Linked DNA regions of Caenorhabditis elegans. The protein of the gene in region 1 interacts with the protein of each later gene in a pairwise test. Each region holds a gene or a part of one and is shown on either strand. Other genes may lie near its edges. The genes, in order: rcan-1 and tax-6.

Region 1 (13,751 bases):
ATTTATTATAAAAACCGAAAAAAGTTTAAAAAAATTAAATTTAATAAAAATTTAAAAAAGAGAAAAAAACAAAAAATTTTGTGATATTGGAAAGTGATTTTGAAAAATTCAAATATCTCCAAATTTTTTTTTTTTGAGAATTTTCAAATTTTGAAAATTATAAGCTTTGATTTTTTAAAAAGTTATCTTTTTAGCTTTTATTTTCGAAAAAAACGAAAAATAAATTTCCTTTAAAAACATCGGAGTATCAAAAAAATCCAAAAAGAATCGAAATCTTAAGTTGTAAAATGCGATTTTTTGCAGAATTTTTAATGTTACAAAGCAATTATATTTGTCAATTTAAACATTTTCGAAAAAAACCAATCTTTTTTTTCAGTACGGGTCCTGTACGACTATGATGCTGCAAAAGAAGACGAGTTGACACTTCGCGAGAACGCAATTGTCTACGTACTGAAAAAGAACGATGACGACTGGTATGAAGGTGTCTTGGATGGAGTCACTGGGCTTTTCCCTGGAAACTACGTAGTTCCAGTATGATAACAAGAAATGCTAACCCTGCTAAATCAATTGCTTTTAATCTCACTTTTATTCATATTCATATATTGCCTTTTGCCTCGAGTACTTGTATGTGAAAAGCCAAAAATAAACGATGGATATGTAATCATGAAGGAAGCAGTGGTCCCCTCGTTTGCAGCAGTGAGAAGCCTAAAAATAGCCAATACGACTGCTATTTTCGAGTCTCGACGCATTTCCTGAACGCATGTGCTCGTTCTCTCACTGCCCCCGTACTACTCTCTTTTGGTTTTCCTAGGGGCTCGCCTATTTAATGAGATTGCTCATTTTCTCTTCATGCACACACATTCATTCATTTTCTTATATTTTTGTGCCTTCTTATTTCTTTTCCTCTCCTCTCTAGTTTATTTTTTCTTCTATTTTAGAATTTTAAATAATTCATGTTCGGCACGACGAATAGTGACGCCAAAGAGTTTGCAAGGCGTGGGAATTGTATCTTTTTTGGTGGGCGGTGGACACAGATTTTCTTAGAGGAGGAACAAAGGTCAAAAATACAAGCAGAATTCTTGAACAGTTGAAATTCCCGCGCGATTTCCAATAAGATGACTTGGATCGCGGTGGGACCTTAACTATTGCACAGACGCAAAATTTTGTCATTTTTGCGCCAAAATACGGTACTCGGTCTCGACACGACAATTTTTTATTGGATAAAAACGGATGTGCACCTTTAAAGAGTTCAGTACTTTCAAAAATTTGTTGCTGCATGCTGCATGAAAACTCCATGAAAATTTAAAAGCAACGGAAGTTTGAAACTACAGTACTCGTTAAAGGCGCACATCCCTTTTTATTTAGCAAAAAAGTGTCGTGTCGAGACCGCATACCGTATTTTTTTATCTTTTAACTTTAAAATATGAAACTCTGCAGAGTACTCTGCTCATAAAAAGAAACAAAAATTCGCTTTAATTGGAAAATTCGAGAAACATTTCAGTCAGAAAAACAAAACATTGTTTTTTTTTTCGAAAAACACGAGACCTCAATTAAGAAAAGTCGGTTTGTTGTTTTGTTGGTGCTCTTAAACTGCGGTTAATCTTCCATTCAAAAGCATCTAATACAAAAAGTACCAGTAATTATATTTAAATCGGTTCAAATACCTCATGGGACAAATTTGAATTGGCATATTTATTTTTTGATAAACATTTTTTTTCCGACCTTAACTCTTGTATAACAATGAAATCTAATCTTGTTGCTATTAAACACAATTTCTGACGAAAAACTACGGAACCTGGTCTCGACGCGACCGGAAATTTCAGGCATAGAAGAGTGTGTACCTTTAAAGATTACCGTAGTTTCTCAGTTTTTTTTTGCAATTTTTATCCACCCCTTTTTAAAGCTGTTTTTCGAAAAACTAATTTTTCGAAAAGAAAAAATATCGATGATAATTGAACACAATTGCGTAAAACAGAATTTCGCAACTACAGTACTCTTTAAAGGCGCACTCTCTTTTGCGAAACTCTCGGTCGCGTCGAGACCGGGTACCGTTATTTTTTTTGTATTTTCTTGCAACTTGGTAATAATTGCAATCTGAATTGCAAAGAAATTTTGGTGCTCCATACGCGCATTTCAGTATTTTCAATTTTCAAAAGTTCCCTTATTTTTAAACCAAAGCACATTTCATTTCAGTGTTCTTGTGGCTCTTTTTTCTCTATTTTCTATCTTTTCAGAGTGTCCTGTGTCCCTTCTCCCCTCCCCTACCAGGGCGTGACGTCGGTACGCTCCTCTTCTTACGTCTTTCCATATCTCTGTACTCTCTGTACTCTCTCTATCTCTCTCACACACACAACAGAAAGAGCTCACCAACTTGTCTATTCTCTATTTACATATTTCGTCAATCTTTTTCTCTCTTCACAGGGGCGGCTACCGATCCGTTCTTTCGCAAAAAACCCTCGGAAATAGTAAACCCCAGAGTCATCATTGATAGTTATAAATAGACATCTTTATGTGAACTCACCTGTTTTTATTTTATTTTATTTATTGCAAAATCCATTTATCTGGAATGTTCTTTAACAAGAGTTCAAGCATCTTCCTTATTTTTATTTGAAAACCTTCAAGTTGCTTTACTCTTTTTGTTTTCGTTGTTTCAGTGATCGAAAATCAGTTTTAAAGGCTCATTTAAAAAATCTATGGCCGATTTTCTTTCAATATGCCAAAAAAAATTAGTGGCCGAACTTTCTGCTTTTTAGGCCACGTTGCATAAACGAGAACGGTACCTCAATTTATCCCTTGATTTTCAAGTTTTTTGCCAAAAAAAGAAATTAATGAAAAATATTGGTAATAACGGAGAAAAATCACTAAAAGACAGATTATTTAGTATTTAAAAAAATTGGTGGCCGATTGTTCTCTTTTTCTAGGCCACGTCGCAAGTAGCCTTTTTTTCAGAAATATTCAACAATAATTCAACATTCATATTTTCAAGACTATTTCAATAATCTGAATCGAGCAATTTTCCTATTAATAATAATAAAATCTTCAATTCCAGACCGGCCCAAATTTCAAAGAATCCCCACAAATTGAGTTATTCAAAAAAAATCGTTCTGGCGAAAATCTCCTGTTTCTTGGATTTAGTTTTTTATTCTTCCTTTCTGGAAATCCGTTTCTAAGAAAATGAAAATTCGATTTAAAAAAGAATTTAAAGCATTTTGATTTCATTTTCAAAACCTTTTAGACTTTTAGATTCACTAAAAAGTTGACAACTAGCAAAATAAAAACAAATTTAATTCTGAGGAATATGCTCTCAGAAACATGATAAATTGTCAACTAACCAGATATTGCAAAAGATCAGATCAAAATCACACAGTTTAAAATTCACCACCAATTTTCCTTATCAATCACAATTTTTATCAATTCATTTTCACCAAAAAAGTCTGACATTTTTGTAGAATTTTTCCGTTTTTCCGTGTTAACAAGATCAACTTCACTGACACCAATAAATTCCGGTAAATGATCAAAAATTAGCGCTGAGAATCAAGAAAATTTTAATCGTATTGTAAATTTGAGTACCTACGACAATGACTGAGTATTTACGTCAAAATGTGAACAAACTAGACTGCCTGTAAACATTTCTCTGTCTGTGTGCTTTTTGATACAGATACTTTATTTTTCAGTTTTGGTGTTGATTTATGAGATTAATAGATGATACTGTATGGATTTTTCTGTTAAAAATTTTTAGATCAAAGTTGCAACTTTTTTTTCCAAATAAAACTGTTATTACGTTCTTTAATTTCCCGGAATAAATGAAAATTCCAACATTTGCATATTTTTATCAAAATTTTGTGGATAATTTTTTATCCGAAGAAAAAACAATTTCCAAAAAAGAGGAAACGCCAACAAAATGGATAGGTTTTATTTTATAAAAATTGAAAGACCACACCGGCAATATCGCCGACATTTATTTCTATAAAAGAATTTTTAAAGTTTTAAAATGTCTTGTTTTCCGGCTGTTGGTGTTGCCCTCCAGCTGTCCAATGCTCATTGAGTTTTTTCTTGGCTCCACGAGCTCAAAGATGAGCTTCAGAGTTCTTCATCGGAATGTGTTTTTTTTTTGCCTGGCGTTTTCTAAGAGCTTCTTTACCAAACCAATACTATGATCCTTTTTATTTCATTTTTGTGTTTGTGTTGACACTTTCGAACAAACCCCCCCCCCCCTTTCCCAATGGTATTTGGGAGAAAAAAGAACCGATTGAAAAAAAAAGTGAACTGCGTCATGAGGTTATGAGTACCTCCTCTTCTTCAACGCCCTTTGTTTCTCCCATCCTTTTGCTCTTTGTGAATTTTTTTCCCCTAAAAATATGTATTGTGTAAAAACTTTTCTTGAGGGAAATCCCTTCACCTATGTATCTTAATTCATACAGAGAATAGCTTTTAAAATGATCTTCGTGTTCTGTCTTGAACTTTTAGTCTCTAGTAACAATTTATCAAAACTTTGACTGCAATTTTTGAAATCAAAACATTTTTAGAGTATCTCTAACTATCATAAGTGCATTTAAATTAATTTCTTACTCACGAGCACCTTTAGGCTTAATTCAAGATCCAATAGAAATTGTTCATTAACAAAATAAGCGTTCACACATTTTTTTAACTGTGATAGGTTCCGTGCATTTTGCAACAAAAAACAGCAGATCGGATAGTACTTGTGATTTTGATTTTTTAGTTTTGAACGAAAAAATCAAATCAGCAGATCAAATAAACTATTTTAGATCAAGGACATTGATCAAATATTTGCGAAATACTTTTGTAAATTGACCGAATTACACAACAAAAATTGTTTACTAAATCAGTATTATTTTTTACGGTAACTTTAGTTTCGAAAATAACTCTTGATAAATCTTCCGGAACAGTACCTTAACTCCTGTTTTTTTTTCAAAAATCAAAACAAATTTCAAAAACATTTCATAGAATTCCAGAGCTACAAAACAGTGATAATGTGTCAAATTCAACACCTCCTTGTTTCGTTTCTCTCGTGTTTTTTTCTTCTTCTTTTACTGCTCCGCGAGCATCAAAATATCTGTGTAAATGCACGTGTTTTCCTACTTCTCTCACTCGTGGTTCATTTCATCTCCTATTTTTGTCATAAGGTTCTGTTTTTAGACATGTTTTTTCTTGAGTTTAGAATCGATTCTCTATCAATTTCAATTTCGCTCTAAAGATAAAAATTTGAATTTCTAGTTACAAAATGTTGTTGCAGTTGTCCATTTTTTAAAACGAAAGGCTTCTCCAAGGGAATCGTGGTCCACAAGTGAAGTGTGATTCCCAAAACTGAGCGTTTTGTACTCTTTTCGAACAATCTCCATACGTCTTATGTGAATGGATGTCATTCCTAAACCTCTGACCGATTTTCATTCCACTCGGCTGCTCGCAGAGTTCAGAGGCTTAACCTCTTGATCGTTTTTCTTTTTTTAGTCTTGCTGTTTCTCCCAGCTCGAATTGTATTCAAATTTCTGATGAAACTGCGTCAGCGCTCTGCTGCGCCTGGGGGAGATTATGGAAATTTTTGTGGGCTTTTTTTCGCTTTTTGAATTTTGGTGCGTCTAATATCAGAGTATTGTCTCATATTTTACGAATTTCTAGTCCTTGGTTTCTCGGAATTTTAAACCAATTTGGTGAATTTAAGAAAAGTTGCCGTATCTTTTCAAAAGCACACACTGATTTTCTAAAAATTTTGATCGTGGTAGGACCCTTTCTGCATCAAAAATAGATGTATCTTTGCAATTATAATTTCTGCCATTTCGTGTTCCATCCCTCCACGTCACACAGAAATAATCCAATGTTCAGTTTCACCGACCACGTGAACAAACATTGACATCATTTCTGTCCGCTTCCCGGTCCAGTTTTTGATGGTTTCCGTGCGGATCAGAAGAAGAGAACACATTGTATCTGAATATATATATATTGGCACGAGGCAGGCCACCCCATTCTGCACGAATCTTTTGTCGTTTATTGTAGGTCTCGCCACGATTCAAGTTATTTTTGAAGCTAATTATTAAGAGAATACCCTAAAAGGTTCATTTTTACAAGATTTCATAATAATTCTCAATTATTGAGAATAATTTTCGAAATGTTGAATCAAAAATTGGATTATTTCGTTATTATAAGAACTTTTCGTCTCTAGGAACTTGGAAGCATAAGAAAAACAGCAAATTTCCCGCCTCAAAAATTCCAAGAGTTTTTGTTCAAAATTCTATATTCAGAACGGGGGGACTAAAAGATTTGTTGTTTTTGTCGAAAAACCGAACAATAAATGTTTTTTCTTTTGCTTTAAACCACCCACACTCATGCACCATGAGTCATTTGTTCCAAAAATTTGAAATTCCCTTGATGGCCATGGCTACTGGTTTACTGGAAAATCTATCTTATTCAGTCTACGTCTCACTTTCCTTCTGCTTTTTTTATGGATATTTCTTCTCGAGACCACTGTTCTTTCTTCCTTTCTCTTGACCATCTTCATCATCACCGTCATCACGTTGTGTTTTCAGAGTTTTCAAGCTCCAGAATCCATGTGATTTTTTTTTCGTCTAAATTGTGCCCTCCGGCACCCGATTTCCGTTTTGAAACGCCCACACCATGAAAAGAAGATAGAAAAAATGAATCTTTTTTTCAGGCTTCAGTTCTTCTTTTTCTCCCAAACTCGGTGGTTGCTGAAATTTTTTCTATAAGTTAACAACAAAAAATGGTGGCTGATAACTCGGAAAAATCAACGAAATCCGTTGCCAATGGATCATTGATCAGCACTGTTTCCAGTAAAGATGATCTTCCAAATGCAATTATTGTGACTCAAGTACCAGAAGATGTAAGCTTTTGATTTCAAATTGGCTCTACTTTTAACTTTTATTTATAGGTATTCGATAATAAACAAGACAAGGCAAACTTCTCATCTCTATTCACACAAATCGAGAAAGACATTCATTTCGATTTCCTGCGCAGCTTCCGACGAGTTCGAGTAATTTTCAGGTGAGTCAGAGGAAACCGCCAATTTTCAATAACTTTTGTTTTGTTTCCAGCTCCCCCGAAAACGCTACAGCCGCCAAACTTATCGTTCAAGGATTCTCTTTTAAAGGGCACGAGTTGAAAGCTTTTTTTGCACAAAGGATCTACATGAGTGCCAATTCCCAAATGCTTTCCCCCCCACCACTCGAAAAACAGTTTTTAATTTCACCACCATGTTCTCCACCAGTCGGATGGGAGCAGACTAAAGATATGCCACCGGTTGTATGCAATTTTGATTTAATGGCCAGACTTGCGTCATTTGCTATCGATGAAAAGTAAGTTTATATGACGTTTATCAAAAGTTGAAAAATGTGAAAAAAGGGGTCTATAAGTTTGGAGTTTTGCAAGCCTGGAATACTGTTTCTACTTTGTATCACACAGCGCTTATTACGGGAACACCACATTTTGAGAATGCGTTTTGCGCAACATATGCAAAATATCTCGTAGCGAAAACTACAGTATTTTTTTTTAAATGACTACTGTAGCACTTGTGTCGATTTACGAGCTCGATTTTTGAAATTAATTCCTTTTCGAATAGTGTGTCGTATAATAACGTCGTATTCTTATTTTGCTCAATTTTAATATTCTTTCATTAAATCAATGATTTTAGTTAGTTTTAAAATCGAGCCAGTAAATCGACACAAGCACTATAGTAGTCATTTAAAGAATTACTGTAGTTTTCGCTACGAGATATTTTGAATAGTTGTGCAAAACGCATTCCCAAAATTATATGTTCTTGTAATAGTTGCTACATGCTCAATTTTTTTATTATTATTCATATCTCTGTAAAGTTTGACATCTGAAGCAACCACTATGACGTAGATCTTGGCGAGACCCACTCAGAAGAAGCGTGTGCCTTTAAACTGAAGTGCCAGAATTTCGCGAAAGTACAATAAACTAAATATTGAAATATTTTAATCAATTTTTTTCAAATCCAAAATTCAGATATGAAGTACACAATGGAGACGAGCTGACACCAGCAATCATTGTTCATCCATGCGAGACCCCAATTGACGTACCATCAGCAATTGAAATGCCACGAACTCCACGCCCTTCATCTCCATGTGAACAGTAATTATCTTGGATATCCCTTTCCTTCTCATTCTTCTTGTTATTCATTTTTCTCTTCCAGCTTTACAATCATCCTCATTCTATTTGTGTTGCACTCCTTCTTCTCCAATTTTTTCATTTTTTCCTTGTTTCAACTTCAATCCGCAGAGCTTATTCTGCCGCGGGTAGACGTGTCTCTTCCTAATCCAACAATCCACTTATTTTTGCTGATATTTTGTTTTTGTAAATATATCCCAAAAATTGTTTACCACCCAATACTTACTATATATTCCTTTTTATGGAATGAATCTTCAAAATGAAAAAAAAAGAAAATAATGCAAATAAATTATTTGTATTTAAAAGAACTGACAATATCACATGAAAAGAAGGAAAAAGCAAGTATAATATACCCGAGCCCTGATAAAAAGTTATTCGTTAATATTTAAGTTCTAAACCGTCATTGGATCCTTCCTAGCAACAGATACATCATGATATCCCATTGCTCTCGCCACGAATCTTCTTATCATATTATCCCAAGACGTCTTGTTCTTGCTGTACAAATTCAAATAAATTGCCAGCATCACCACAGATCCCGCATAAACATATTCGATGGTGAACGGCTTCGAGAAGAGCATGAACGACAGAATTATAGTCAGTGCCTTGCGAAGAGTTGTCACAGTAACCGCAACAAGTGCTCCAAACACTTTGATATGAGTGAGCACAACGTTGACACCGAGATATCCAAGACATGAGAGGATCAGTGCGTAGCCGAATGTTTTCCACGAGTTCTCCAGGAAAAATGGAATTGCACTGAAGACTTCACCGGAGAGCACGACAAATGCGAAAATGAACACTGAGCCAATTCCATATGAGTAGAGAACCATTTCATTACTAGATCCACCGTACTTCTTCATATTCTTTTCTTGAATATTTCCAATTACAGCATCTGCCAGAAGAGCTCCACAAATCATGATGTATCCTCGAGAATCGAAATTTGGGGATACTTTATTATCGGCCAATGTGAACATGATAATTCCTGGAAATAAAATATTTAATTAATTTTTTAAAATCCAAAATCCTCACCTAAACTCATTAACATCGCCGCACCAATATCAATCCATCCATATCGTTTTCCTTGGATCAGAATCCCTCCAATGAGCACTGGAATTAGCTTGCAGCACTTGAAAATCACTTGAGTTGGATAATTTAAATATCCAACGGATGCATTCGAAAGTCCCATTGTTGCTACTGTGAAAAAGGCAATTACACCGTAGATTCTCCAAGGGATCCTGGAAAAATTAAATATTTTTTAATTCTGAATTTTGTACTATTTGTACTACATATACGCGAAATATTGCGATTGTTGCATCAAAACCGGTCTCAACACGGCAATTTTTGTGGAAAATGGTGTGCGCCTTTGAAGATTACTGTAGTTTCAAACTTTCGCACCTTAGTTCCTGTGGAATTTTTATCGACTTTACAGTTTTTCCCTTTTTTTAATTTGTTTAATTTTTTTGTTTTAAATTTTGAATAAATGTATTTATTTTATTAATAAACAAAATCGAGAAAAAATCCGTAGCAACAAAAGTTTGAAGTTACAGTACTCTTTAAAGGCACACATCAGATTTCATTAAACAAAAAAGCGTGTCGAGACCTATTTACTGACGCACAAATCGCGAAATTTGAATAATAATTGAAAACTCACATTCGTTTCGTGTTATGCCAAATAATACATTCCGTATATCCACATCCGCTATAAATCAGGAATTGAATAAGTGTTAACGTCCATCCAAATGGTTTCATTCCAGGTAGTTTGAATATTAATTCCTGAAATATTTTTTTTCTTCCAAACATTTTTTTATGTAAACTTCTAATCTCACCTGCATATACCCGTATCCTATGTACAAAATAAATATTGCTAAAGAAAGAAGAACAAATTGAAGCCATTTTGGTCTGAAAATCATGAATTCACAAATTAAATCGGCTCGAGATTTCATAATGTATTCTCGATTTTATCGCTTTTGAAATTCCGCTTTAAAATTGAAAATTAAAACTCACTTTCTGGCAATATTAAACCCTAACAGATGAATTGGTTCTACATCCTCTTTGACATGACGTGGCAGCATATGAACACTACAATCAGAATGTATTTGAGCTGCAGTCATTTGAAAGAGTGGGTGGAAAGTGCGCAAATAAAGGGAAATTGAGATCTAAATCAGATAGGCATTTGTTCAGATTGTCCATTGGGGAAAGCCTGAACCGCGACTACGTTCACGGCTTTTGAAAAGGGGGTATCGATCTTTTTGCGCGTTGGCAATAGTTTCTGCGCTACGTCTCTCTATGCATACGTTATTCATACCGAAATAAAAATTCACCGGCGTGATATATTGCAGAACCTTTCCTATACTTTCTGCTCCCGAAAATATTATCCCAACAACTTGTGAATGTGTACCATTTTGTAATTAAAGACGAACAAATAGGGAACAATAACAATTTATTGGAACAACGAACAGATTAGTTCTTGGAGGCAAAGTAGTCGGTGAGGATGGCACGTCCTTGCTCCTCATTTCCCCAGTTGGTGACAACGGCGGATGAGCATCCAACGACCTTGCGGGCCTTTCCTTCCTTATCGTACTTGCAGAGTCCGCAGTACTCTCCGATGATCTTCTTATCGGCGACCTTAATGAGTGGAATCTGGTGCTCGGCGCAGAGGGTCTCGACAAGCTTGACGTATTGTGGCTCGTCGCAGTTCTCGGCGAGGACACAGAAGTGAGCCTCACGCCTGAAAATTGTTTGTAAAATCTTTGGAACACATACAGCATGATACCAGTACACGTGTGGCAGAGTAACAACTTATCTACCAGCTTATTGGGGTCACATCGATTCTAGAACCGGCGACGTTGAAAAATAAGTGGAACTAAAATACAAACTAAAATATCAATTACTTACTTGTCAAGAGCCTTGCAGGTCTCGTGGAGTCCCTTGGCGAGTCCATCAGCGTGGTGGGCAGCGCGAAGAACAGCTCTCAAAGCTCCTTCCTTGTCCATTGGTCCCTGGGCGACGGCGGCTGGGGCCACTTGAACATCTCTAAAATTATCCAATATTTTAATAGCCTTCATAAAAACTTAATTTTGCTTTTAAGACAAGGAATCTAATTGTTCGAACAACTTTGGAACCGATACAGCTTCAAGGCCAGTACCCGTGTGGCAGTAGAACGGTTTTTATTGCACACTACGATAGGAAAACTATGACTTCAAAATCTTCCGATATAATTGGTAGGTGCAAGATTTTTCAGAAAAAAACAAAAATAACCTACCCTCCTGCGTCAGACATTGTTGTTTGCAGCAAGAGTCCTTGATGCTTACCTGAAAATTAGAAATTTCGACTCGTTAATATTGTTTTCACAAAATATATTTCAAGATTTGAGAAAAAGAAAAAAAGAAAAGAAAAAATTGGGAAAATCAACGGAAAAGAGGGAAGCATGAAATGTTTCTGTATCACTCCGCAGCATGTCTTTGAGTCGCGGCACAGTGAAATGTGCTATAGAGCGCGCTTGCCATTTGTCGATTTACGGAGACTTGCACGCGGGAAGCTTTGAATTTCAACAGTTTTCTGTATTTTCTCAGTCTTCATCAAACATTCATTAGCATTTTTCAGGCAAATAAAGGAGTCAAATGGCTAACGAAACGCTGGAACATGTTCTTATTTACTTTTTGGAGAAGCTAAAAGACGTTCGATGCAACCAATCTCCAGAATTACTTCAAAAGCTGACACTCTCACAGTACAAGGCAAGTTGTCGAGCTTTCAGTCCATTTAAATTATTTACATGAATTTCAGACTCTTGCACAATTGGATGTGGACATGCGAATGAGACTGACGCAGGAAATGGAGAGCTATGTGGCGGATCATGTAGAAATTATGAAACTCGAGCTGCAATTGAAGAACAAGAAATGTGCGCTCGCTGGAAAACTGAAACAGTTGGGGACAACGTTTGATAAAGCTATTGTGGAGACTAAAGGTGAGTTGCAATAATTTTTTCACGAAAAAATAGAAAAATTCAGAACGAAACGAGCATTTGCGGATTGGCAGCATTGATTTTCTGAATCCCGTGGTTGAGAAAGTGGAAAAAATAGTTTTTGCAAAGCCAGAAATGCCACAAATATCAGTCGAACAAGGATCAGTTCTCGGTGAATCTGCGAGACGTCAACCGGAGCTTGTCTCTGTAATGGCTTCCATAATGAAACCACCAACATTTTCATCATTGGTGATGACAGGAAGGACTGAAAAGAAAGAAAATATTCCGGAGACCAAAAGCTACAGTCTTGATGATTCTTTGATAAACGGACATGGTAAATTGAATTAGTTTGTCTTTGCAATAAAAACATGCCATTTCAGACATATCAATGGTGAATACATCCAACGAACGACGAAAACTGGCTTTTGATGAGTTGGACGATGAAGAACTGCAAACTCCAGCAAGAAAACCACAAAGAACTCCATCCAGAGCTCCAGAACGGAATCCTCTTGATCTATTTTCCCTACAAGCACCGCCCGTCTTCACATCTTCAGTTGGTCGAGCATTCAATCAGACAAGGGATTGATTTTCTGAATTTTTGATACTAAATATTATTTTATTTATCTGTACAAATGTGGATATGAATACAATTTTCTGAAAATGAAATCAAATGAATTTGAAAATCCAACCAGTTTTCAACTGTGAATATTTTTAGAATTTTCGCATGTTCTAGTCAACGTTTTAGACAAAGTTTCAGCAATGGAAGAAGAGGAATGTTTATCACATTCATCACCATCAACCGATAATTCTCTTGAACTTCGACTGCAACGAGTGACTGCGGAAAACATAAAAACAGTTCGAATCCTCGTTTCAAGCATATTTCCGGTGTCGTACAGCGACAAATTTTATCAAGAATGTATGAATAACGAATTAACAGGAGTTGTAATACGAAACGGCGAGGCAATCGCCATAGTTGCTGTAAAGCCCGAGAATTTCGAAACAGGACGCGTACTTTATATAAGAAGCTTTGGAGGTTTGTAAATTTTTGAGAAATTAAGATTTTTTCATTTAAAATTCAAGAAAAATGTTATAAAATTAAGTTTTCTAAAAATTCTAAAATATGGTCTCAAAGTTCAGAAAAAAGTCTGGTTTTAAAACAAAAATCAAAAATTAAAAAATTAAGATTTAAATTGATTTTCACTAAAGTCGTTTTTTAGAAGATCTTCCATTTTTTTCAGTTAAAATTTTTTCGAAGCTATTTTCTAATTAAAAGTGTCATTTTAACCTCAAAAATTTGTAGAAAAAGTAACATTTTGATAAAAAGTAAATTTTGCAAAATCTAAAAAATATTTTTCAAAATATGATTAATCAATACTTTAAAAAGATCTATTTCGTATTCTCAAAAAAAATTTCTTGATACATTTTTCAAAAAGAAACAAAAAAGTGTTGAAAAATCTACTGAAATAATTGGAAAAAACCAAAAATAAATTTAAAAAACATTTTTTACAGTGTTTTCCCACTTTATTTTAATTCTTTAATTGAAGATTGAACTTTCTTTCCATTTTTCTCTAAAACTGCGGACAATTTTCTGATTTCTAAAATATAACTTTTAATTTTTAGAAATTGAAAACAA
Region 2 (17,019 bases), on another chromosome or scaffold:
TCGTGGAATGTGTGGATAGTCTTATGAGTAGAACTGTTCAGTTGATGGTAAGTTTTTCGAAATTAATTTTAAATCAAAAAAAAATTTGACAAAATGTTTTATCTATTCGAAGCAAGGATGTCATCAAAAATATTGTGGTTTTTTCAAAAAAAAATTTTTTAAAATTGAAAAACGGAAAATTTTGATTTTCTGCAATATCGAAAAGAATTTTTAGAAAATTAACATTAAAAAATCAATTAGAAAGAAAAATCAAATTTCGTTTACATTGATGAGAAAAAACATAAAATGAGGAAAAATGATCAAAATGTTGTTATTTTCAGAATTATCGGAAAAATTGAATCCCGACCCCCTTGATTCGAAGTTTTACCGTAATCAAGAGTGTCGTCGAAAAAAAAAAAAGATTATAAAACTAAAAATTATCAAAAAAAAATGTTGATATTGAAGAGAGGAATATCTTTCAAAATGGAGCAGTAATCGAAAATTATTGAAAAATTCGTTTTTTTGCCGAAAAAAGAAGTAAATTTTTATTTTCCAATTTTAAAAATCGAAAAATCGGCTATAGCCATTATAAATTTATAGGTCAATTGAGAAAAAAGAAAACATTGAAATATCAATACAGCAAAAAATTTATTAAAAAATCTTAATTGTTCTCTTCTTTTCTTGAGTTTGGTATTTATTGAATAAGTATTGTTTATATTCAGAGATACTATAATCAATATTCTCATAAGGAATTGTATGTCAAATACATCTACAAGCTATATGATCTACACACATCGTATGGAAATAAGATTGAAGCTGCCAAAACTTTACTTCGACATGCCACAATGCTTACGGTAAATGTTTCTTCAATCAGTATCCTTTTAAAGATTATGTATTCCAGTTTGACGATGATGCTCTTCCACAATGGCTCATTGCTCGATCTCTTAACAGACATCGTGAGCTGCATCGTCAATTAAAAGAAGATTTAATGGAAGAAGCTGGTAATTTATTTTCAAAAGGAGAAGATTGGGAGGACGCACTGATTGTTTACAATCAACTTGTTCCAGTATATCAGAATATCATTATGGACTACGATAAATTGGCAGGATTATTGGTAAGTTTAAGGAAACTCCGTTATAGTCTAAATCATAATTTCAGCAAAAAATTGCCCAGTTGTATACAAGCATCAGTCGGACGGAACGTGCATATTTCTATTACTACCTGGTGGCCTTCTACGGACAAGGATTCCCTGCTTATTTGAACGGGCACAAGTTTGTGTTCCGAAGTGAAAAACTCGAAATGCACGGAGAATTCATGCAGCGAATCATGAAGATGTACGATAATCCGGAAAAGATCATGAAAACAGATCCTTGTCCTCACCTTGTCGACTCCCCCGGCCGTTACATTCAAGTTTTCAATATTGATCCAATCGGTACCGGATGCTCATTTGAAAATAATCCTGAAGTGAAACCGGTTATCAAAAAATATTTCAGATATTATAATGTAAGTTCCACTATTCTATTGCAAATATTGTATGTTGACTATTTTCAGATTCAAACATTTGAATATTCAAAAGTTGAAGAAAGAAAAGATACAAAGTGGACAAGTATAGATCCTTCATCTGAATTCATGAGGAATTGGCTTGTTCGACGGAGAATCAAGACTGCTGACAGTCTGCCAACTGATTTACGATTCACGGAAATCGTCGAGCTATCCGACCCAATTTATGTAACTCCATTACAAAATGCAGTTGAACAAATGAGAAAAAAGAATAAAGAACTCAATGAAACGGCTGCCAGTGCTGAGAGCAATCCTAATTTCGATTTGAAACTTCTGAGCAGAGATATTCTTGGAGTCGTCAGTGCAGCTGTGATGGGTGGAGTCAAAAATTACGAAGTATTCTTCACGGAAGCGTGTAGAAATATATGCGAGTGCGGTGAGCAGTCTGTGATCATGGAATTGAGCTCGTTGATAATCGAACAAGTTGAAATTTTGGAATATTGCTGTTATGTTCATGCTAGTCGTTGTCAAGGAGAAGCAAGAGCAATTAATACAATGTTGGCAGATTCATTTGACAGTCATCGTAGATATGTTGAGGAAAACTTTGGAAAAACAAGATCCAGGTTGCCAACACATGCTAATATTCGACTATCATCGTTTGATTCGGATTCGATCAATGATGGAATGATGACAATGAAGTCAGGAAAAGCTGCAGTACTTGGAAACGCTGTGGCTAACCTAATTTATTCGAACAAACGATCTAGTGGACCTGGAACTCCTGTCAACTTGTCGTAAGTTTTCAAAATTCACAAATGACAATCTAGTTTTTTCTTTTTTTTTTTCAGAAGTCGTTCAGCCCCTTCATTCGATAACATTTCATCTAAACTTCGGAGTTCTCTGGCAATTTCCAAGCTTGCACCCCCACCGCGACCTCCAAATCCCATATCTCCAATTAACCGTGGACCATCTTCAAATTATGAAGGAATCCGTATGAGAGCTCATTCACATCAGGCTTCAACAGTCTCTCTTAATCATATGTCAGTTGCTCCACCACTTCCACCTCGTCCAGATCGTCCTGATATGGATCCAAATCGAACATTGAAGCGAAAAAATTAATTTTTGTTTTAATTAAATTTTGAATATCTTCACAAATTTCCAGAGTCATAATCAAAAAACGCATGATAATCTAATTCTAATTCATTAATTGCATTTCTATTTTATCATTTTCTCAAAATTCCCTTTCCCCTGCTGGTTTTATCTGTGCTCTTTTACTAGTCACTCACTCACTTCAAAATGTTTTAATTGTTTCCTTTTTCAAAATTCTTTTCCTTCCTGTGAATATGTTACAAGTTAATAGGAATTATTTTCAGAGCTTCATTTTCCATATAAAGAAATCTCCAAAAGATTATCAAAGAAAAGGGGAATATCATACGTTAAATGATTCTTTCAGCAAAAAAAAAAACGAGAAAAAAGATTTGAGACAGAGAGGGAGAGAGAAGGAGAAAAAGAACAAAAAAACATGAATTTAAATTAGAATCTTATAGACAAGACAATATATATTTATATTTATGTATATACTTTTATAATTTCGGATGAAGTTGATTAGCTTAAAAAAAGAAGAAAACGAGATGATGGATCGGAGGAAAACACTTTGGGATGAAAACTTGGAAAAAACATTTAAAATGAACAAATGTGGAATAAAATAACACTGTTTGCTTGAATGAAATGAAATGGCAAAAAAAAGAAAGAATGGGTCTCAACTGGAAAAAATCATCTATGGGTTACGGTAGATGATAAGGCTAGGGCACACTTGTGAGGGAAAATAAAGACAGAAATCATAGAAGTTTGGGGCATTTTTTAAAAAAAGGGGCGGGGCGACTAAGAAACACGCAACGAGACTGAGAACGGATCCAATCACAAATCGATAATTTATAGGGAGAAAAAGAAAAAAAAGATGCGGAGTTGTGTTTAGAAAAGAGAAAAAGCAAATATGTTCCATTAAACTTGAAAAGCAATGAAACACATTTACATAATAAGAAACCGGGGGATTAAAGAGAAATTATACGAATAGAAGATAAAAGTTTCAGAGGTTTATAGACTTCCAAACGTATGAACAAGAAAAGACTATAAATCTAAGGTAAGAAAGATGTGAATGGATTTTGATGGATTTGTCATGCGCAAATGCACTATGGCAAATAGTTTTCGGAGATGGAAATTTGCATCTAGCTGGTTGAAAGTTTTTAGATAAAAAAAATAATTAAAAGAAGAAGAAGATTACGTATTCAAGCGTGTTAGTTTCCAAACTCTAACGACTTTTGAAGATGATATGCCATATGAACTATGACTATTAGCTATTTGATGGACCATTTTGTGGTGGTTGAGGTGTCGTTTGTCGTGACGGAATTGGTGATTGACTTGGTGATTGTGCTGGTGGTGTTGCCATTGTTGGTGGCATTCTTTCATTAATCTTATCGAGACGGCGAGCTTCTTCGAATGATTGAATAAGATGTCCCGAATCGCATCCGGATTCTGCTGCCACTGAAATTCAAATATTATAATTAGGTATTTTTATTTCCAATCATTTTATATGGGATCCAAGGTTTAGTTTCGAAAAATATTGCATTTATTAGCATAAACTGTTGGGTATACATGATGGTATTTAAGTTTACTATAATCTCGCAACTTTCGAAATTAATACTTTAAAGTCGCACGTGGCTATTTGAATGGGTCTCGTCACAAAAAAGAAAAAAAATCGAATGCAGATGCTTAGATTTTTCTTCATTCCTGGTTGTCTAATCAAATTTGTTTTTTTTTAGCAACTTTAAAGTTGTAATTTTGAAAAGAAAAATAATTAAAAACATTTTCGAAAACGAAAACGTCGGTGTTGCCCCAAAAGCAATGTTCTTTCAGTTAAAAAAACCATACTTTTGTAGAATCAGATGTTTTAAACATTTGCAGACCATAGATAATTTAGATAATTTTTATTATTCAGACCTGACTGTTCAATTCTATAAGCCGCATTCAATCCTGTCCGTCCTTCCGAAAGAGCCCCTTGTGGCAGCTTGCCACCTGCATTCAGGCCCTTCAACTGCAGCACTGACTCGCTTTCATGTCTGTTAAAAAGCGTGGTACTACGTTTTTCTCTTTCCTTTTTTCTATTGAATTATTGTTTTTTCGTAGAAAATATCATTTGATTCGAAAGTTAACTCGGTAAGTATAGTTGCATTTCGATTAGAGAAAAGTACACACACTTTTTGACGGACTTTAAACGATTTTGGACGGATCAGGATCGAAGAGACATCAGGACAAACATTACCTTCTCGGACACCACGTGATCCACCTTGAAGTGTTCCCATTGGAAGTGCACCGGTTGGTGTAAGTCCTTTCAGTGCGAGAACACTTTCGCTCTCCTCGCTGAAAATATGAAAAACCACATAAAGAGTTATGAACTTTGAAAAAAAAATAATCAAAAATGATTAATTAACAAAAATTGTCAAAATCATGCTTTAAGTATGTTGTTTTTTTATAGAAACATTAAATTAAGATATATGTTATCAAAAATAAATAAAAGTTAACTAAAAAAAATGCTCATTCTATAATAGAAAAAAACTTTCTATTTAAATTCATACAAATTCGGTTTAAAATTGAAAAAAATTAATCAACTTACCGAAGAACTGAGAATGCTCTTGCCATCTTTCCAATTGCTCGAATCTTGTGTCGAATAACCTCTTTTCTTGCAGACCCCACTCCACCTGAAAAATTAATTTTTAAAAAAGAACCGTCAACATTTACAAATGACATGGCAACAACTTCAAAAGGGGTGACACCATTCACTGGCAACCACATTACCAATCAATAGAAATCCCCGAATGAAGTTAGAAAAATGTCAAAAATAAAATGAAAGCCATGTACATATATATTGGCTAATAGGTGAAAAATTACTACTTGTAAATAGTGTGAATATGGGGAGGGCAAAGGGGGTAAAAATTTGGGATTTTGCAATGTGCCAACCGTCACCGAAAATGATAGAGGTTGAGTTAGAGGAAACGGGTCCCATTGGGATTTGAAGGGATTACGGTAGTTTTTGTTGTAAATAGTTTTAAAGAAGTTTTATGCTCTTGGAAAAGAAAATTTATTTGTCTAGTTAATTTAACTACAATTTTTTATACAAAAAACTAAACTTGTTCGATTGTTAACATTTTCTTATTTCGTTCCAAGATTATGTTCCGTAAGAATAGCCAAAAAACTCATAGTTTAAAAAATCTTCTTGTCGAGTAAACATCAATTCTACTTTTACAATTTCATAATAATTTTTCAAATATACCGTAATATACTAATAAAATATAAAGTAACCTTTTTGAGAAAATATTATGTATAGAAAAAATATACACTTCAAGGTCTTTTCTCACAGGTTTGGGGAAATTTCCACTTTCTCATTTCTTATACCGTACCCCTAAAAATCCCAATAAAGACACCCATTTCTTCCAATTAGTAACTAATTTTTAGGGTGGGGAATCAAAACCAAGTGAGAGAATTTTGAATTTTAGACTGCTCGAATTCTTTCATTTTCTTCGATTTTTTGACTTTCTATTTTTTTTCAATGTTTAAAATTGGAATTTTCAGAATTTTTGAAAAGAGACCAAAACACAGGAGAAGACCAGGTTGGAAATCCGACATAAAACATGCAAAACACAAGGCGTTAAAAGTTTAGCAGCACACAGCCAAATGAAACAACTAAAACAATTATAATTAGAAAAAAGCAACGTATTTTTTTTTAGAAAAACGGAACAAAAAAGATAAGCAGAGCAGCCACATAAAAGTCAAATAAATAGAAAGCCGTATTCAGAGAGAAAAATAAAACAAACTAAGAAATGGTGTATAAGCGCCAAACGCCCGAGGTGGGTGTTGTTTAGGGTGTTCCGAAGAAAGTTTGGTAAAAAATTAAAGAAAAAATAAAACTAAATCTGATAGTCAAACATACGTCACCAGTGTGTGGTGGGTAGGGGAATATCCACTTACCATCTGCTCCTTAAAATTTTGATTAGACTTTTTCATTATTTTTTTGTAGCTAGTTTTGAGATTAATGTTTAGATCTTTACTGAGATTTTAACATTTAACTTTTTTAAAGGCGCGTGCGGTTAAGGAAAAAACGGACGGCTTGAAAACACAGTTTCTGACAAATTTGTCAAAATTTTATTGGATTTTCAGAACAAGTTCAAGCCTGCAACACTGGGAAAAGGTAACAAGTTTACCGACATTTCAAGGTTTTAGAACAATAGACAAAAATTAAGGGATGATGATATTCTTACGATGGCATGGTACTTCTGTCATTCAATTCTATTGACAAAATGTCTTCCAAGCCAAACATGGCTCCGGCAAATGAGCTCAAAATTTCTACAAGTAGTGCTCTGCTATGCTCAAGGTCAACAATACATGCGTTTTTTTCTCAATCGACATCATGGTTTGTGTACTAGTGACTAGCATTTCTACATCGTTCGAAAAACTATATTTCAATTTGAAGTGTGAAATCCTACAAAAAATTAAACCTACAAAGTGGCGCTAATCTTTTGAATACTGTACACATAGGGAGCGTATGACTGCTGAGAAATGCTAATTCAGATGAGTACAATAGTTACAGTTTTGAACTGAAGTAATCAATCATGTCAAACTGAAAAAGAGAACACCTATATATTTCAGTCATTCTCAGTCAGAGCACACACGCACACTCACACAGAAATATCAATTCTCATGCCAATACCTTTTTTCGTTTTTCCTTTTCTTTCTCATGGTTTCTTTTTCAGAGAGCTCAATCAAAAAAAGAGTAGCACAACATTCAAACAATGACCAAATATTCAAAAAAAGGGAGAAAAGAAGGAAAGAAAAAGGAAAAAAGAGAAGGAAAGGAAAAGGCAAGAAACTAGAGAGAAAAGAAGTAGAAGAGAGACAGAGAGAGAGAACCGTACCGGACACACAACACCGATTTTTGTGCATTTTTTGAGGTTTTTGAAGGAAAATTGGAAATATTCCTATTTCCCTTTCAAACTCTCAGTGCCTTATTAATTTTCAAACAGTCTCTCTTCTTCTTCTCCTCTCCTTAGTTTATATCACAGTAGGAGAAAAGAGTGATATGAGGTGAATAGGAACAATTTTCTGTTCTTGTTAAGATATACATTTACAAATATATATATAAATTAATCGAGCAAAAAACACATGTATTCCATCTCTTGGGGAGAACGTTTCAATGCGGCTTTTCATTTGCCAATTTGAGCCGAGCACAAGACAAAATCATTGAAAGTGTATAGAGACAAAATTGGCGGTAGAAGATTATTTTAATTTAAAAAAATTATATATACATAAATATTTTTTGTTGTGAAATAATTCATATTAAAGTGACCTAGTTTTTTACGCAGTAGGACCTCCTTTGAGGGAGCCAGTGCTTAATCATGAACATACCTTCAAAGGTGTCATCGCATTCAGCCATCAGCTCGTCGTCAGAACAAATGTTGAGAATGTGAACCAGCATCTCCGTTACTAAAAGGAAATCTCATTTGGTTTTCGACATATTTCTTGCTATACCTTTTTCTCCCACAAACGGCAATGACCACGTGAACACATCCATAAAGTTCGGCAGCCAATATGGATGAGGACTGCAGTTGAATTGACGAATATTCATCACATTGTTCTCGTACTTCAGGATGGCAGCTGAAAATTGTTAAGTTGTTTAATGTTTAATGTTTAATTTTCCGAATTTTGTTTTCTTTTTGTTTCTCCGTCAAAAAATGCCATTCCCATATTTCCTCTCACCTTTGTTGTTGTAGACATCCAAATAATTTGGAGCACTGAAGATGGTGATCAACGATGGGAAGCCTGTGGCTTGAGATTTGCGATACATGCGGTATCTGGAAAATAGAGTAGAATTAGAAAAGAGGATTAAGGTTCTCTTTTCGCATCTCCTGGCGACGGATAAGCTCTTACCCGGCATCTTGAGCTTCATGTGCGCGAATGATGGAGAGCAGATTGTTGTGTTGCAGGAAATCACAGCATGCAGCGTAGCTATAATATTTCGTTCTATTAAAATGAAGATTATAGTGAATGGGATACCTGTAAAAGTATGAGCACCCTCTAACCGAATTGTGACTAAATTGTTCTGAATTCCTTTCGTTTCCGAAATCTTCAAGTGGGTCTGACCAGAGAAGATCACACATTGGACCAAATGCTGGGGGCTCCTTGAATCTGTCTATCTGAAAGTCAACAAATTAAATAGACATTTAAGATATGGTCGTAATTTCGGATTAAAGTTAAACAGTACTTTAAAACATATAAAACAAACATATACCGTAAATTTTCTCTCAGTATTGCACCTAACTATTTCACTTTAAAAACTTCACTCGGTTCATGATACATATCAAAGAAATTAATTGAAAATATATTGAAAAAGAACTAACAAATATTTTGTTAATTGAGAATTTTTTGATAGAACAAACGACAACGGGTACCGTACTAATAGAGAAATACGGTATTTTTCAAAATATTAGTTTTAGATCTCATGTTTTTCACTAACCCTCCTGATATCCTCCAAAGTATGGATTTCTGGGGACAATCCACCATGAACACAAAGGAATTGTTGGTTCATGAGAGCTGCCAACGGTAGAGCATCAAATGACTCCATGCACACATCGTATACCCGTTCAGAGTACTTGATCTTGCATTCTTGTTTGAATGTAAAGTACTCTGTCAAATGACGGCATTCATGGTTTCCTCGAAGCAAGAACAACGTGGTCGGATAGCAGATTTTGAGTGCCCACAGATACAGGACACATTCAATCGAGAAGTATCCTCGATCCACGTAGTCACCCAAAAATAGATACTTGGTAGTTGCGGGCGATCCGCCAACTTCGAATAGTTTCATGAGATCGTAGAATTGACCATGAATGTCTCCGCATACAGTAACCGGCGCCTCGATTTCCAACATCGTTTTTTCGTTGCGGAACAGGCTTGAGCATTCTTGAATCACACGAATCGCGGCTTCTTCTTCTATCCTTCCTTCCTGCAAAATTGTTGATTTGATTATATTCTTAAAAATCTATTCCACACCTTAATAAAATGATCTCGAAGAACTTCATGCCTTGGTTTTCCAGTCCGCCGGTCGTAGACCTGATCAACGGTAAGGCGTTCGGAAACAGGAAATTGAACGGCTGAAAAATGAGAAATTAGAAAAAATATAATGTTTTCATTATTCCATTTTACTTCCGAATTCCTTCATCTTTCTATTCCCTTCTTCTATTTTTTTTTCAATTCTTCTCAAATTCCATGCTCTTCTCACGCTCATCTTCCCCACATGGCGCCCGAGCCGCCGCCGCCCTCCTAAATTACTATGGGAACCCTCTCAAGCGTTTCGGGATTAATTTTCGATTTCAAGCTACAGCAGTCACTCACTCCCCTTCCTTCCCGTCTTCTCTCACACACACGACGACGCCAATGACGGCGACTTCGTCAGAATCTTTTCGAATAGAAAAAGAGAATGACGGAGAGAGAATCAGAGAGAATAAGAACTCTCTATCTCTCGATATATTTTCTATGTGCCTGGTGAGCCGACGCGGAGCCATTGGTGAGCTCCTCAGAGCAACGGACCCGCGTGAGTCAGACAGTGAGAGTTTGCGCTGAGAATAGACGAGAAGAAACTCTCTGCGGCTCTGCAGCTCACGACGACAACGGGACAAGCAAAAAAAAAAATTCTCTGCGCGTATAATTTCTGGCTTCTTCAATGTGTGTGTGCCAATGTGAGGGTGGATGGGGGTGGTTGTGGTGTGCTGCGCAAAAAAAAAGAGAAAAAAAGAGCATGGCGCTTTTCTCCGTAACCTGAAGCAAGAAACACTTTAATTGGTTTTTCTTTTTCAAACTGCCGCCCGACTGCAGAAGCCAAATACTTACTCTTGACAAATCGTTCGGTGAACTGCTTCAAATCACGTTCGCGTTCACGATTGTTGTTCGAGGCGGTGGTGGTAGTGTTGGTAGTGTCAGCTGAAAAAATGGTTCTTTTCATGCATTCCAGATGAGATCCATTTTTCTTTCGCTAGATTTTTTCGGATAGAGACACCTAGAAAAAGGATGAAGCCCCCGACGACTGCGTGTGTGATGATGCACAACAACACTACAAATTCGATTTGTGTCTCTATTTCCTTCTAAAATCATTTTTCGAGGGGGCAAAAGGAGATAGAGGGAAAACAACAACTAATTTTTCGATAACATTTAAAGGTATGTAACGTGAAACGGAAACCAAACTTCAAAATAAATTGATTTGAAAAAATATTGTTCTTTTCCCGTATTTTCCCAATCAAAGAAAATGAAAATTCTAGTTCCTACTAAAATTGAAAATGGACTATTTAACTTTTTGAAATTTATTCAAAAAATGCTCAATGTTTGCTGATTTTAGCGATAGTCTTAAATTGCAAAAAATAAGAATAAAAACAATGGTAGTTTCAGACGAGGATTCAGTAAATACTTACGTTTAGCTGCAGAGTTCTGTCCTGCCGATGTCGAGGCCATTGTGTGTGTTTATATATTTAAAATTGATGATGACTTTTCCTTTTATCGACTGATTTTTTGTTTCACCTGCAATTCAAAATTGTAAGAAAGTGAGGGAAACTCTGGAAATGGTGTGGAGTTGCGCGGAGCCGAGTATCTTGGGGCAGCTGACTTGTATTCTTGAGCTCCTTTTTTTCCTTTTTTCTTCATTTCTCTTCTAGTCTCTCACGCGGCTCTCCTTCTCTCGCGGACACCATGGCGATTCAATTTTTATGACTTTTATGAGAGAGAGGCCAATACCTCATATATTTTCCTTTTTCGGCGCGCGGCGCCACTGACGGATCGGATGTATTTTGTTGGAAAATGAAAACGAACCCTTTTTGTTCAAAAAAATGAGTGAATGAGCTACTCTGGTTTGGTATGAACCCGTAGATGAAGCGGGGAAACGGCTATGTGTGGAGATGATGTAGCTTTGCGAAACAGTACGATACCCTCCTTCGGACCGTTTCACGTCACTTCTCTTCACACCACGGCACGACGGATCGATCTTTCACAGGCCTGCAATCAACATTTTGGTCAATTTTTGTCATACGGAGAGAAAAAGTTCAACATTTACGAATTAAATAACGATTATGAAAGAATAACGTCCCCGAAAAATAAGATGTTCCAATGCAAAGCTTTCCGTTCAATTTAACAAATTGATAGTTAAAAATTTAAATTCAATAAGAAAAAGAAAAGAAGCTTGACCAATCGAATAATTCAGATTGAAGGGAAAACTAGTTGTGCATGCCAAAAGGCGACAACAATGGGCGGGGTTCCTTTGGAAAAGACGAAGAAAAGGAACAATTGAGAATTGGAAGGAGAATCAAGAGAAATTTATTTGAGAAACATTACAACCAATTTATTAGCGAATTTTCTTAAAGCTAAAATGTCATCAAAATATGATTTACATCATTGAGAGAGCAACTATATAATTATTCTAGAGAACAAATTTATTCCGAACGTTTCTTCAAAAATATCTTAAACATCATTCATTTTTGACAACTTTATCAGGAAATTCAGCATCATCTTCAAAAAAAAAACAGTCAATACCACACTTTATTTTTTATTTCGCGAATTATTCAATTCTGACAGTTTCTCTGTCGTTTTGTCAACTGACAAAATAATTGTTCTGTTTCTATCGTTTTATGTATACTAGGTAGTGCAATACAAATAAAAAAAACGATATCAGTTGTAGTACTGTACAACTCTAAGTGTTTGTATTTAAAAATAGAACTTTCAAACAATTTTATAAGTTGAAAATGTCTTCTTCCTAGGAGCGATGTCATTTTCTAACTACTGTTCAACTCATGCTATGTATTGATTAAATCATTTATGAGCAGAACCAAAAACCCACATGACTTTGAAAAAGGGAAAGATCAAAAGTAATGGGCGGTGTGTGTTATCGATAAAAAACCTTTTTTCCCTCTGCGTGAGAGAGATGCTCTTTTTCTCTGCTTCTCTCTATCGATAAGGCACAATGAAAAATGAAAAGAAGCAGCACGGAAATTGGGTAAACATATGTAGCGATGCGACAGAAACGGAGAAAATTAGAGAAATAGACAGTTTCAGTTAAAGCACGTTTCAAATGTTGTCTAAAAATTATAGGTGGAAAATTTAGCAAAACCAGGCTTTCTACTCTCAAAATAAACACAAAAAAAAACAAATTTCAGACAAAAAGAAAAAGTAAAAAAAATCGGAAACTCTATGTATTGTAAAAACAGAACATGAAAATTCTCTAAACGACATAATAGTTCCATTCTTAAATTTTTAGTCATCACTAAGAAAGGCTTGTTGTTGTTGTTTATTCCTTCCAAAAAGATAGGTCCCTCTGGTATAATCATGAAAAGGGACAGAAACAAGGAGTCCAATAGATACTTCATGCATACAAATTTGTTGGTACGATGATGTGTATGCTGGGTAGGAGCTAGAAAGATAAGAGAACGAGTGAAAAGAGAGTGTTGAGATGTCAAAAGAAACAAAGATCCGCAATCCGTCGCGTGGGTCAGAGCAAGGGAAAAGCAACAAAAATCAATCGGTTAGTTAGCTGCGGTGAGTACAAGTATATATGGCTTAAAATATGTGGTTTAAAAAACTTATCTATAAATACCTACAATAAATGCACTTTTAAAAAGATATTCATTACAGGGTAAAATAATATGTGGAATTAATATTTTTCAAATATTATTTGAAAGAAAATGGAAAAAAAAACTACTGTATAATTTTTACATGGCCTTTCGTGAAACCCCTTTGTTTCAAGATTTTTCTGCATCAGAAAATATATTTGCCGAATTAAAATCTGAAAATTTATAGTCACACATCTTAGAAATTTCAAAATTTGTCACTTTTTTCTAATGGAATCAATTTATTTTTATTTATTTCAGTTGGAAGCATTGTAATTCTACAAAACGATTATAATATAATGATTTTTGATATCTTTGATAAATATTAAAAAAAAACTATTCTATGTATTTTGAAACTAGTAAAATATTACAATTAAATAAATAAAAAATGACGTGGATTTTATTCAGAAACGTTGAAGTCAAAAAGAGCGAGAGAGAAGGAGCGCGAACAAGAAGGACGTTGTGGGTGGGATCAGCTCGAGAAGCTTAGCCTGTGCTCGAATCGGAGAATAAGAGAAGGGATAGAAGAAGAGGAGAGAAAGAAGAAGAGAGCAGCTTTCTGCTCGATCGACGACACCAAAAAGAAGCTGCTTCTTCTTCTTCTTCTTCTTCTTCTTCTTCAACTACTCCTGCTGCGTGTTGCTGTGCTGTCGCTGCTATCGGTGTCTGTTGCGGCTGCTGTCCCGGGACCCGAGAGCCGCAAGAACGAAATAGTGTGCTCCGCGATGCGAGCTCGGTTTTCGGGAGAAAAAGACGCACACAGCGGCGGCGGCAGTGGAGAAGGGAGGGAAAAAGATGGAAAAATGAGGGAAATGAGAGAGGATGGAAGTACGTAGAGAGTTGAGACAAGTGTAGCACGGCTCGCAATCGATTGAGCTGTGCTCTGTTGGCTAGGAGAAGGAGGAAAAAAAAGAGAAAATTGAAAAGTGAGAGGAAGAGAAAGAGAAAGCAGTTTCATTTCTCAACACGCGAGGACAACATAGGCATACACACACGCAGAGCCAAGTCAAATGAATATAAACGCTACGTGCTTCTGCTGTGCTGATAAAAAATATCAAGGATTTGATCGGAAGGCAGAAAGAGACGAAAGTAGGCACAGGAAACAGAAGATTGAAGGAGAAGGAGAAGAAGGAGATGGCGGCTGCTTCTGTGTTTTCCAAATGGACGAGATGGAGGGTCACAGACTCAAAAAGAAAACATGACGTACCGATGTGTCAGAAAACAATGTTGGCAATTGTTTCATATTGGGATGTTTTATATACGATGTGCCACGTGTCATTGATAAAAAATCTAGAAAATCTACCGAAACAAGCTTATGCAAACTGTCTTAGCAACCCTACCACATTCTGTGACAACGGATTATAAATTTAATGCTGGTTTTGTAACTGATAGCAATACTATTGGTACTAGTTGTATGTACATATATGTTTTAACCAAAAAAATACATAATAATGTTTTCAGCATTACTTAAAAAAGTAAAATTATTATCAGTTCATTTATTCAAGAAAGAAACAACATTATGTGGAGAGAAATTAGAGTACAGATAATTTTTTCTATACGAACTAGGTTATCCGAAACTTCAAACTTAAAACTTTCAACTTTAAAATTTGGCTTCCAAAACAAATGAGCTTGGGTTTTTGAAGATATCAGCTTTACATTCTAGAAAGCCTGCATCTACTGGGAGCAACATAACAAGTATTTAGCAGAAGAGAGTGCATTTATCATGAAAACAGACAGAGACACGCAAACGTAAGCCTAACTAATTGAGGGTGTAGGTCAACTGGAAGTGACTCTAAATCACAGAGTGCATCATCATCATCATCATGAAAGAAAATAGGGGTTTCAAAGAGAGAGAGAGAGAGAAATGGAAGGCTCTCTTTCACCACCACCACCGCCACTGCTCCGATGTCGTCGTCACTCAAGCTTGAGCCCATTCAAAGACTCATCTCTTTTTCCCGTCGTCGTGTCCTCGTGTCCCTAGATGGCTATACCCTTTAGAAAATAATTAAATGTGAAAAGAGGTCTCCAACGAGATAGTATGGATTTCGATGAGAAGCCGGACACCTATAGGGGGGGGACTCGAACAAAAAAGTCGTTTGCTTGTATGTATGTGTGTGTGCCTTGTTGCTCCACTTCTCCTTCTTTCATTTTGCCGTTTGGATCCAACCAAGGATGGCAATGTAGGAGCAGGAACAGGAGTTTGAGAAGAAGTTGCACACCAAGAAGGGGTTATTTTATGACAAGAACATTGGCCTAGAAAAGGTGAGCTTAATGATTCAGGACCAACTCATATCGAAGTCTAATACTACAGAAGTGAGGTATCGTGAATGGTGAATTCGGTTTAAAAACCGCTAAATACTAACCGACTAAAAGGTTATTTTCAATATTGCCCCATTTACCATATTGAATTCGCTCTAAAACGAAAACTGAGAGATCAATCAGCGATTCGCTCCGCTCAATTTTGAACCAATCAGGCGTGAGCGAGTGTAGATCAAAAAACGGTGATTGGTTTGTATGGAAGCGTGGCTTCTCATTTTAGAGGGAATACCAACCGGGAAAAGGCTAAAATTAAAAATCACCTTTTTAGAAGTTGGGTTTTTGACCTACTCCACGATTGAACTCTGAGATTTAGAAGAGCAAAAGGAACAATTAAGTTGAGTAGTGAGTATAGTTTCTCTGCATTTTTCGAGTATATACATTCTTCTCGAAATTCTGATTAAACAGTTTTGATCACTGAAAAGTGAAGAATCGTAAAGTTTCTAAACCAACTCAAAGTTTGACGAGATGAGTTTTTAGGATTTCTCGTGTAAACAACGAGATTATCGGATCTTTATGACCTTATAAGATTATCTTTTCAGAGAACTAGTAATTTCACCTTTCCTGCTTCTCATTTTGCCAGGAAGGTGTGTATATGTGATTAGAAAAAGAAAAGCGCTCTGAGCGCACTGGCTCACGGGCTCAATGTGCTTCATTCCTTCAGAGAAAAAGAGAGAAATTCTGGAATAGTCAATTTCAGGTGGCGACCGCAACGCTGAGACGCATCGCAATGCCTGATAATGTGATAAGGTGAGAAGGGGAGGCACACTAATCCGATTATGCTATAGTTTTGGAAAAGGCAAGCAAATGGGGAATTTTGGGATTGGATGGAAAAGAAAAACATAAAAGCAATCAAAATAAACAATTGGATTATAAATGTTCTATGATTTTAATTCTCACACGAGATGATTCTCGAGCATGAATTTTTAATCACACAAATATAATTAGGATTACTGTAAAATTTGTTGCAAAAAAGGATAATTATTAATTTCAATAAAAGTCTTTTGTTGTGTTTTTATAAATTGTGTTTTAATAAATATTTTCGTTGAGCTCCTGACTTACCAATTTTTGTCGGTATATTAATATTCAAATTTGAAAATAAGCTCGAAAAAATCAGTATTATTAAATGTCCAAGCCTAGGTTATTTGTCTTGATCTTTTGAAAAATCACACATTTTTACAGTTCCATCGCAGAAAAAGGAAGTCAAAAGAAATTGAACGCATTTGATTCAAAACGACGAAGAAAAAGGCAAACGGCGTTGCCAAACAGACATATACAACACAACATCGACAATGGGAAAGACGGCAGAAAAAGAAATGTAAGGGAAAGAGAGAGTAAGAGGAATATATGATAAACAGTACGAATACATACGAGAGATTAAGTATGAAACGATGAGACGCAGACTGTGAAATGAATTGGGTAGGCAAATTTGGTGGAAAATGTGGGTTGAGAATAAATATTCAACGAATAGAGTTATTTTTCTCTCTGCAATTGATTCAGGAAATATATTTGAAATTGGTTGTTGGAAATTAAGCTT

What was found.
Region 2: the proteins of rcan-1 (region 1) and tax-6 interact in binary tests that used the Caenorhabditis elegans proteins (3 or more experiments, as listed by UniProt).

The regions. Positions count from the first base shown.
Region 1 is NC_003281.10:5,677,015-5,690,765, reverse strand, and holds rcan-1 (Calcipressin-like protein), read left to right. Parts: upstream 1-6,667; 5' UTR 6,668-6,736; coding exon 6,737-6,856; intron 6,857-6,904; coding exon 6,905-7,017; intron 7,018-7,067; coding exon 7,068-7,328; intron 7,329-7,998; coding exon 7,999-8,128; 3' UTR 8,129-8,464; downstream 8,465-13,751. Other genes in the region: abi-1 (SH3 domain-containing protein), read left to right, coding at 377-537; pst-2 (Adenosine 3'-phospho 5'-phosphosulfate transporter 2), read right to left, coding at 8,553-9,139, 9,187-9,392, 9,809-9,930, 9,984-10,056, 10,162-10,268; rps-12 (Small ribosomal subunit protein eS12), read right to left, coding at 10,618-10,885, 11,053-11,190, 11,420-11,436; ska-3 (Spindle and Kinetochore-Associated protein homolog), read left to right, coding at 11,778-11,891, 11,941-12,121, 12,165-12,452, 12,499-12,704; F54E7.9 (N-terminal methionine N(alpha)-acetyltransferase NatE), read left to right, coding at 12,878-13,151. UniProt on the Caenorhabditis elegans protein: Inhibits tax-6/calcineurin A phosphatase activity and thereby negatively regulates calcineurin-mediated functions.
Region 2 is NC_003282.8:10,490,036-10,507,054, forward strand, and holds tax-6 (Serine/threonine-protein phosphatase 2B catalytic subunit), read right to left. Parts: upstream 11,026-17,019; coding exon 10,986-11,025; intron 10,501-10,985; coding exon 10,411-10,500; intron 10,163-10,410; exon of another isoform or gene 9,884-10,162; intron 9,675-9,883; coding exon 9,574-9,674; intron 9,527-9,573; coding exon 9,041-9,526; intron 8,721-9,040; coding exon 8,581-8,720; intron 8,533-8,580; coding exon 8,455-8,532; intron 8,379-8,454; coding exon 8,284-8,378; intron 8,182-8,283; coding exon 8,056-8,181; intron 8,011-8,055; coding exon 7,933-8,010; intron 6,508-7,932; coding exon 6,499-6,507; intron 5,232-6,498; coding exon 5,147-5,231; intron 4,894-5,146; coding exon of another isoform or gene 4,796-4,893; intron 4,593-4,795; coding exon 4,474-4,592; intron 4,018-4,473; coding exon 3,827-4,017; downstream 1-3,826. Other genes in the region: ced-5 (Dedicator of cytokinesis protein 1), read left to right, coding at 1-47, 702-833, 881-1,093, 1,138-1,482, 1,531-2,270, 2,325-2,595. UniProt on the Caenorhabditis elegans protein: Calcium-dependent, calmodulin-stimulated protein phosphatase. Dephosphorylates arrd-17. Dephosphorylates daf-16 at 'Ser-319' which regulates daf-16 nuclear translocation. Dephosphorylates calcium permeable cation channel pkd-2 at 'Ser-534'.